Nothobranchius furzeri: one gene and its partner. The protein of the gene in region 1 interacts with the protein of each later gene in a pairwise test. Links are inferred from orthologs where the notes say so. Each region holds a gene or a part of one and is shown in the gene's direction. Other genes may lie near its edges.

What was found.
Region 2: the proteins of pfdn5 (region 1) and pfdn2 interact in binary tests that used the Homo sapiens proteins (3 or more experiments, as listed by UniProt). The link is inferred for Nothobranchius furzeri from reciprocal best matches to the Homo sapiens genes PFDN5 and PFDN2.

Annotation. Positions count from the first base shown.
Region 1 is NC_091743.1:50,185,891-50,189,819, reverse strand, and holds the start of pfdn5 (prefoldin subunit 5), read left to right. Parts: upstream 1-1,136; 5' UTR 1,137-1,151; coding exon 1,152-1,325; intron 1,326-1,520; coding exon 1,521-1,623; intron 1,624-2,167; coding exon 2,168-2,199; intron 2,200-2,481; coding exon 2,482-2,556; intron 2,557-2,645; coding exon 2,646-2,751; intron 2,752-3,929. UniProt on the Homo sapiens protein: Binds specifically to cytosolic chaperonin (c-CPN) and transfers target proteins to it. Binds to nascent polypeptide chain and promotes folding in an environment in which there are many competing pathways for nonnative proteins.
Region 2 is NC_091742.1:74,821,136-74,825,064, forward strand, and holds pfdn2 (prefoldin subunit 2), read left to right. Parts: upstream 1-1,068; 5' UTR 1,069-1,290; coding exon 1,291-1,371; intron 1,372-2,215; coding exon 2,216-2,304; intron 2,305-2,422; coding exon 2,423-2,546; intron 2,547-2,774; coding exon 2,775-2,966; 3' UTR 2,967-3,249; downstream 3,250-3,929. UniProt on the Homo sapiens protein: Binds specifically to cytosolic chaperonin (c-CPN) and transfers target proteins to it. Binds to nascent polypeptide chain and promotes folding in an environment in which there are many competing pathways for nonnative proteins.

The DNA of each region.
Region 1 (3,929 bases):
GAAAACTCCCTTAAAATATGGACAGTAACAAACCTGCTAAATTCCTTCCAGAATCTTTGTGTAAAAGAACAGCACCAAAAAAGATGTGTCACAGTTTCTGGATGATCCCCACAGAAAGTACAATTAGTATTTATGTCCCTTAGTTTTGAGTTTTAACCACAGTGACACAAGTGAACGTGAACTTTCTGTTGTGCAAATGTCGTCCTCCTGTGGCTGTTTGGTGGCACTACATCTGGTTAGCAATGGCTTCACAAATTTTTCCATTAGTTGCTAAAAAATGAAGAAAACGGAACATCTGTGATATGAAAGGAATCAAAATAAAAAACATGACTCAGTAAAAGTATAGATATGCAGCTCATGTTTGAAAGGTTTTGTGTTTTATGACTCAAGTTGATTAAATTTGGTTGTTTTAAAATATCACAAATCAATTTGTATATTTAAATATATACATATTAAACATAGATAAGCAGGTTTTCTTAAGGATTGAAAAAAAATTGTGTTCTAATGAAAAAGACCCAGTTCATCTACCTGGTGTGAAAATGATGACATTGACGGTGTATCTTTCTTTTTTTTAGATCACAGATGCTCGAACAAAAATTATGATTTTATTCAATTACTTCGATAGAAGGAATTTTCATTTAAATAAAATGTAGCAATTAACACATATTAATTATGACCAATAAGATGTGATATTCCATACAAATATGAAATATCAATCTGATTGATCTTTGAATGTTTAATCAGAAGATTCTAGGGTCCTTTGCTTATTCAGGGACCAAAAACACACCTCGTATAAATTCAGAGTCAGTGTATAGTTTATAAAATGAATTTTATTATTGCATTCATTATTAGGGGAATATTTCATATAAACTCCCATAAACAGAATATGTTGCCACCAAGTCAAATTACCGATTACAAATAACTGTATATTAAAAGTTTATTTAGACAAAAAAAAGTTAAAAACAACTGCATTTGTTGTTATTTTTGTGAATTTGGTTGACTTTTATTTTTATTTAATAACTTAAACATTTACTGCTACATCAAAATGCATTACTTATTTTTGAAACAAAAATGTGTATCCTTTAAAAATAAAACGTCTGTAAAAGGATGAAAGAGATGGCCATAGAGGTACATTTCTTTCCGGTTGCGTCATGGACAAATTTACATTTGTCCACATGGGGGCGGTAATGAGACCGTATTCCATCGTATTAGGCGGAAGCAGAACTGCGTCAGTGCAGGTTGGTCATCACGCTTTCAACATGGCGGTGAATCTTTCAGACCTCTCCATGCCTCAGTTAGAAGGATTAAAAACCCAACTGGATCAGGTATTATCATCAGTAACATGCTGTATTGGAAGTATTTGTATTTATGTAGCTAAATGCACGAGGTATTGTTAAATAGGAGACCGATGCGGGCTAAACACCCCCGTTAGCGTTCTGTGCCGTAGACAACCGGTGGTGTTGCTAACGGTGTTTCTGTCCCGGGTTGAATCTTTTTGTACATTTTGATGTTTCTTTCAGGAGGTTGAGTTCTTGACGTCTTCGATAAGTCAGTTGAAAGTTGTCCAGGCCAAGTATGTTGACGCGAAAGACAGCTTGAATGTACTGAACCAAAACAATAAAGGTGCGTTTTTAAATCACAATCTGACACAAACTGTTGGCTCCCGAAATGTTTATCCATACCTCTCACAAGAACTACTACTATAAAAGAATGACATTTAAAACAATCGGTACGATTATGATTTTTCATTGTGGTCTGGTGATATGTAGAGTTTAAAAAGTAATTCAATTCAGTTTAATAATACTTTATTAATCCCAGAGGGAAATTAGAGTTTCAGTACACACAATTCTGAGATCAGACATACATACATACATACATGACAAGAATTGGTCGCACAAGAGGGTTTATATGAGGAGATATGCACACAGACTTCAGACATTACACAACATAAGTGTCCACTAGGTGGGGAGGTAGGGTTGGGACTTTCCTCAGGTGCGTGCAGCCGCATGGGGGACAGAGGAGGGACATTAATGGGTTGGAGAGCACAGTGACTCCTAGAAATGGTTCCTTCACTGTGCCTTCACCTGTCAGTCCCGCCCAGGCTGGGAGAGGGAGAAAGAGTTGCCTATTTATTTGGATTGTGACCCATTTCTTTTCTCACAAACAGGAAAGGAATTGCTGGTGCCTCTTACAAGCTCTGTATCCTTTTTAAATTATCCAACATTCATTTTATTTAACCACTGGCATAAAATACATATATGAAACATCCAGGTGAAAGGAGCTGTAAGGTTTTGTCCATCGTTGTGTTATTTACTATCTTCCATCTACTTTCGGTTTCTTTTTTCTAACTTGAAACAGTTCTTCAGCAACACGTTGTTTAACATCTTTACACATTAAAATCATACATTTATTCACACAACTTAGCATCTTAGTGAAGGTGGATTCTTTTAGCATGTTTGTCCTTTACAGTTTTCTCTTCAGATGTATGTCCCTGGAACATTAAGTGATGTGGAACATGTCCTAGTTGACGTGGGGACAGGATATTATGTTGAAAAGGTAATATATATTTAGATATATATTATAAATAAATAAAACAGATTTTAATTAAGAAGAAGCTATTTAAACATGCGTGTTTGCTTCTTTAGAACGTGGAGGACTCAAAAGCTTTCTTTAAGCGCAAAATAGACTTTCTCACAAAGCAGATGGAGAAAATTCAGCCGGCTCTTCAGGAAAAGCATGCTGTGAAACAAGGTAAGGTTAATTGTGTGAATTTGACATTTAAAATCTTTTTTTTTCAGCATTTATAGATGTTCTGCAATCTGTTAGCTCTTTGATTATGTATTGGGAATTAATTGCTGTCAACTACTAACATTTTAATTGATCTCAATAGCTGTAAACCGACTGAGTTATATAGTCAGTTTTGTGTTTGCTATTGTTTATTAGCTGTGGTGTCAGTTGAATCAGAATGTTAAACAGTTTGAGACACATGTACGTTGATTATGTTTTATGAATTCTGTGAAGATCTGATTGTTTAAGAATTTGCGAACAGATGTGAAAACACATGTTTGATAAAAGATAAAAGGGTCAGTGTGTAGTTTTTAATCGTTAATCTCTGGAAATATCCTTCAAAATTAAGCTATTTATAAAACCAGATAACGTATATAATTTCAGATACAAACGTAACTTTAGGCATACATATTTTAGAACAACATTAAAGTCATTTTGTATTTCTGTTACGGGTGTAAGAGTTTGGAATAAGCTAAGTGGGGATCTAAAGCAAAGTCCCTCATTGCATACGTTTAAAGATAAGTATAAAACAATTATACTAACTAATCACATGGAGGAGGAGGAAAAGTTGTAAGGGTGCTGCATTTGATTGTAATTGTCTATGAACTGGGAGCTGTGAATATGGGGGGGGGGGGGGGGGGGAAACATAAAAAATGTAAATTTTGCTTGTGTGATTGAGGATAAAACATGTTATAAGAAAATGGCTATGACAGTGTAGGGAAGAGAATTTTTTTGTTTTTATCTTCCTTGAAATTTGATTTTGGGAGGGGGGGGGGGGGTGATTATACAAGCTACCAGAGCTTTTTTCCCTTCCTATTGAACATGTTTCTATATATATATATATATATATATATGCATATACATATGTATGGGTTCCTTTTTGAATACTTTAATTTGTCTATTGATTTACATGTTCAATAAAGAAAGAAATGAAAAAATGTTGACAATGACAAAGTAAATGATACCCAGTAGTTGATTAATATTGGTGGCTTCTCAACATATAACCATATAAATCTGGGGCCGGGCCTAAGTCTCTGGGCGACACCATATTAGATGCCATGTTTCCTTCTACGGGAGCCCTTAAGGACAAAATGCAATTACTGATTTGTAATAAACGATTACAAAATTTTCACCATTCATAA
Region 2 (3,929 bases), on another chromosome or scaffold:
ATAAATGCATCATAATCATTCAAATATAACACAGGTTTATAAATAACTATCAAAAATACCCTTAAACCAGACTGAATAAATATATTATTTTGCAAAGCAAACGTTTGGTCTAGTTCACTAATAAGATATAAACAGCACGTATACGTCGCATTTCAGTCAACTTTGAAGACATATTGACAATAATATTGTGTGTTTCTCAATTACAACTCTTTTCGTAATCATTCTGATTATTATGGCAAAGTTTTACATTAATAAATTTAAGTTCAGGTGCACTAAACCATGCATTGTTGCTTTTGAAAACAAATTCAAACAACACATTTAATGTGTTCAATCTTCTGAAAACCCCAGAGCAAATAAAAATCTAGAGGTCTGTATGAGGTTAATCCGCTTTCAGCAGTCCTTTACAGCGTTTGAATTATAAAAATAAAAAAATGTCGATAAATGCATTTAAGTGTATTTTTGTATTAAAAATTTACATGTATTTCTTCATTTGTTTTTAATTATTGATTTTAATTTATGTACGGTGTGCTTCTGATTATTGTCTAACATGAAAACTTTTGTTATTTTTGTTCATTTTTGTTTTGCTTTTGATGTTACCTATAGGCTGCTGTAAAGCACATTAAGTTACCTTTGTATAGGAAATGTGCTATACAAATAAAGCTGTCTTGTCTTGTCTTGGCGGTGTGCAAATTAATTAATTTAATGATTAATATGTCCTTTGGCTGAAATAAAGAATATTTGAAAGAGAAAAAACACGTCTAAAACTCCACGATGCAGAAACTGCTTTAATAAATAAGCTAGATTCGGAAAATGGGCTGCATGGTGGCGCAGTTGTTAGCACTGTTGCCTCGCAGCACGAAGGTTGCAGGTTCGAAACTCGGCTGCGGCCTTTCTGCGTGTTGCGTGTTCTCCCCATTCATGCGTGGGTTTCCTCCGGGTACTCCTGTTTCCCCCACAGATCAAAACATGCCCCATACGTTATAAATTGCAAGTCACTTTGGATAAAAGCCTCTGCCAAATAAATAAACATAAACATAAAATAAAAAAGCGTATGCACGAAAAAACAAAAACAATACAAAGTTGATGGAAGTTAATAGAAATTATTCCTTCAAATGCCATTTTATTTTATGTTGAATTAAGTTGTATTTTGTTTGCGGTTCTGCTTCTGAGTTTTTACATGAAAAAGTAAAAGATGGTTGCAAAGTAATTTAGATGTTTTACAAGCCGCATTTGCACTCAGGCAATCTCATTAGATAGCTGCAGGGTCCTAATTGGCAACACCCTTCCAAGATGGCAGCGAACGGTAGCAGCACGGGTAGCAAGTCCAGCAGCAGCGCCGGCGGAAAACAGTCCGGACTTTCAGCTGAACAGGTACTCTCAATTATATAAAAAGGTTTCATTTGTCGTTACAATTATTTCTGTTGTTGTTTGGCTCAGTTTGGTAAAGCAGAACTAAAAGTATAGCCCCTAGCTAGTCTAAGCTAACATTAGCATTCCTGTCGCGATCATCTGGCTCAAAACCCAAATTTGGACATCGGGAACCGTTAGGAGTCTAATAAGGACATTATGAGAGTTTACATCAAACTCTTACTTCTAACAATTTTTACGTTAGTCTATGTATTTACGGTTTTGAAATAATGTGTTTGGTTTGGTGTGACTAAGCATAAAGCTATTTTTGTCCACCTAACCCTAATAAATTATTACTCAGACCATATTAAACAAATCACTGCTGTAATGTCTGTAATACAGTGCACTGTAGTCCGTAATATATCCTTTAACAACAATAATGGCAACATTAGAGTCGAGCAATACCTTCAAATATGTGTCAAAACCTTTATTGATCAGGTTTTACAAAAATAATAATAAAATGTAAATATTGCCATATTGTATCATAACCTTTTTGTTATTTTCTTACATATAAAGTCTATGACTCTGCGTAAATGGTGATTAAAACCATCAAATAAACAAAGTTTATGTCCACTACTTCTAAAAAGTTGTAGATTAAATCTGATAATAAAATTAAACCTTTACCATTAATGAGTTGCTGCATTATGTACATTTATTTAATAATCTTTTAAACAAAATTGTAATATGCTAATTACCAGTTATGACTTTAAGAGTTTGGTTTCAGTAGACAACTAAGGAGTAGCAGCATCTGTTTTTTATTTATTTATTATACTTAATAAAAAAATGATCAAATTCCATTTGTTTTCAGGTGGTAGCAACATTTCAGAGGATGCGTCAGGAGCAGCGTAGTATGGCTTCGAAAGCTGCTGAGCTGGAGATGGATGTCAACGAGCACAGGTTGGTGGAGCATCATCTACATTTATGTTCTAGACACAAATGTTTCACAAGATTTTGTAGGGGAAACAATCCAAAAGACAGACCGTTTAATACCTTTGCTATTTCTTTTCATATTTAGTTTAGTAATTGAGACCCTAAAGGAAGTGGATCCTTCCAGGAAATGCTTTCGTCTGGTTGGAGGAGTGTTGGTGGAAAGGACAGTAAAAGAAGTTCTACCAGCCTTAGAAAACAACAAAGAAAAGGTAATGTTATTTATTTCGGTCACAGGAATGATCAGGAGAATAAACTGAGACATTTTAAATCACTTATTTAACACCAAAATAACAATAAGTGTACATCGAGTTAATCTACATAATTTCACAAGAAAGAGTTTTGTTTATAGGTTTTGAAGTCAAAAATAAACGTTTAGGTGTCAACTGCAGGATGTTTCGTTTGTCTGATTTCTCATCCATCTTCCTCTGTTCTAATAGATTTCCAAAATAATCGAGACCATCAACACACAGATGCAGGCAAAAGGACAGGAGCTCACAGAGTACAGAGAACGTTACAATATCCGGCTGGTTGGAGAGGGTGAAGGAGAGGCGCAGGGCCAGTCGGCAGCAAACTCGCAAGACAATGAAGGAGGAGGATCCAAAAGTGGAGCAGGAGTTCTGGTCTCATAATGCTTTGAGGATGGACAGGGACAGCAGTGCCCTGTTATTTCTGCAGCACTGAAGAAGAAATGAAAACTAGCTCAAGTCAAGGAATTTAGGTGGAAAACTGAACTTTTCATAATGTTCCTTTTAGTTTTCTTGTTTAACTGTAATTTCCTGGAAGTTGTAATAATCATGGTCATCTGCTTCTCTGTTCAGTTGTTTATGTCCTCATTAAGGTCATTTGCCTTGCAGATGTTTTTTAAAATGCTGTCATACATTCAGCAAATAAATTAAAATGCCATAAAAAGGATTTTGAAGTTGCTGACATAAGTAAAAACATTTATCTTTCTCATCTAGCATATAAATCCTGTTGCACTGGGATGAAATTTTTAAAGACATTAAAAAAAAGTTAATGTCAGAATTAGATCCTTTTGCATTGTCATTAAGCATACACAATCGAAATTTATTGGTATGTCAGCTTTGAAAACGCACAAAGCTTTAAAAATGATGTACATTTTTGCGAAAAGGATGTAAAGGACTGAAAAACAACAAATAATTAAACGTGACTCATGAACAGGAGCCAGTACACAAAAGGAAAAATGGAGAAAAGGAAGAGGTTTCTCATGCTCACCAGATTATGTCATTGCGGCAGAGCCTGCCTCAACTCGACAGTACAGTGAGCTCTCACTCGGTTTTTACACTGCACACACTTCCAAAGCTTTACGGAAATAGTGCTTATGAACGCTTTCAAAGTAAAAGCCAGTCTCTGAAACGTGTTTTCAGACTTATTTCAAACGAACCATTCTAGAAAAAAAAATTTGAATCCAAAAGTGATCAACAAAAATTTTTATCACCATTTTAACTGTTTTTTCAAAACAAAGGCATATTGAAATTTGTTAAAATGTCTAAAAAACGAACAGGAGAAGCCCAAACATGGGTTTATTTAAATGAAAGACATTAAAATTTTCTTACTTTTCGTTTAGTTAATTT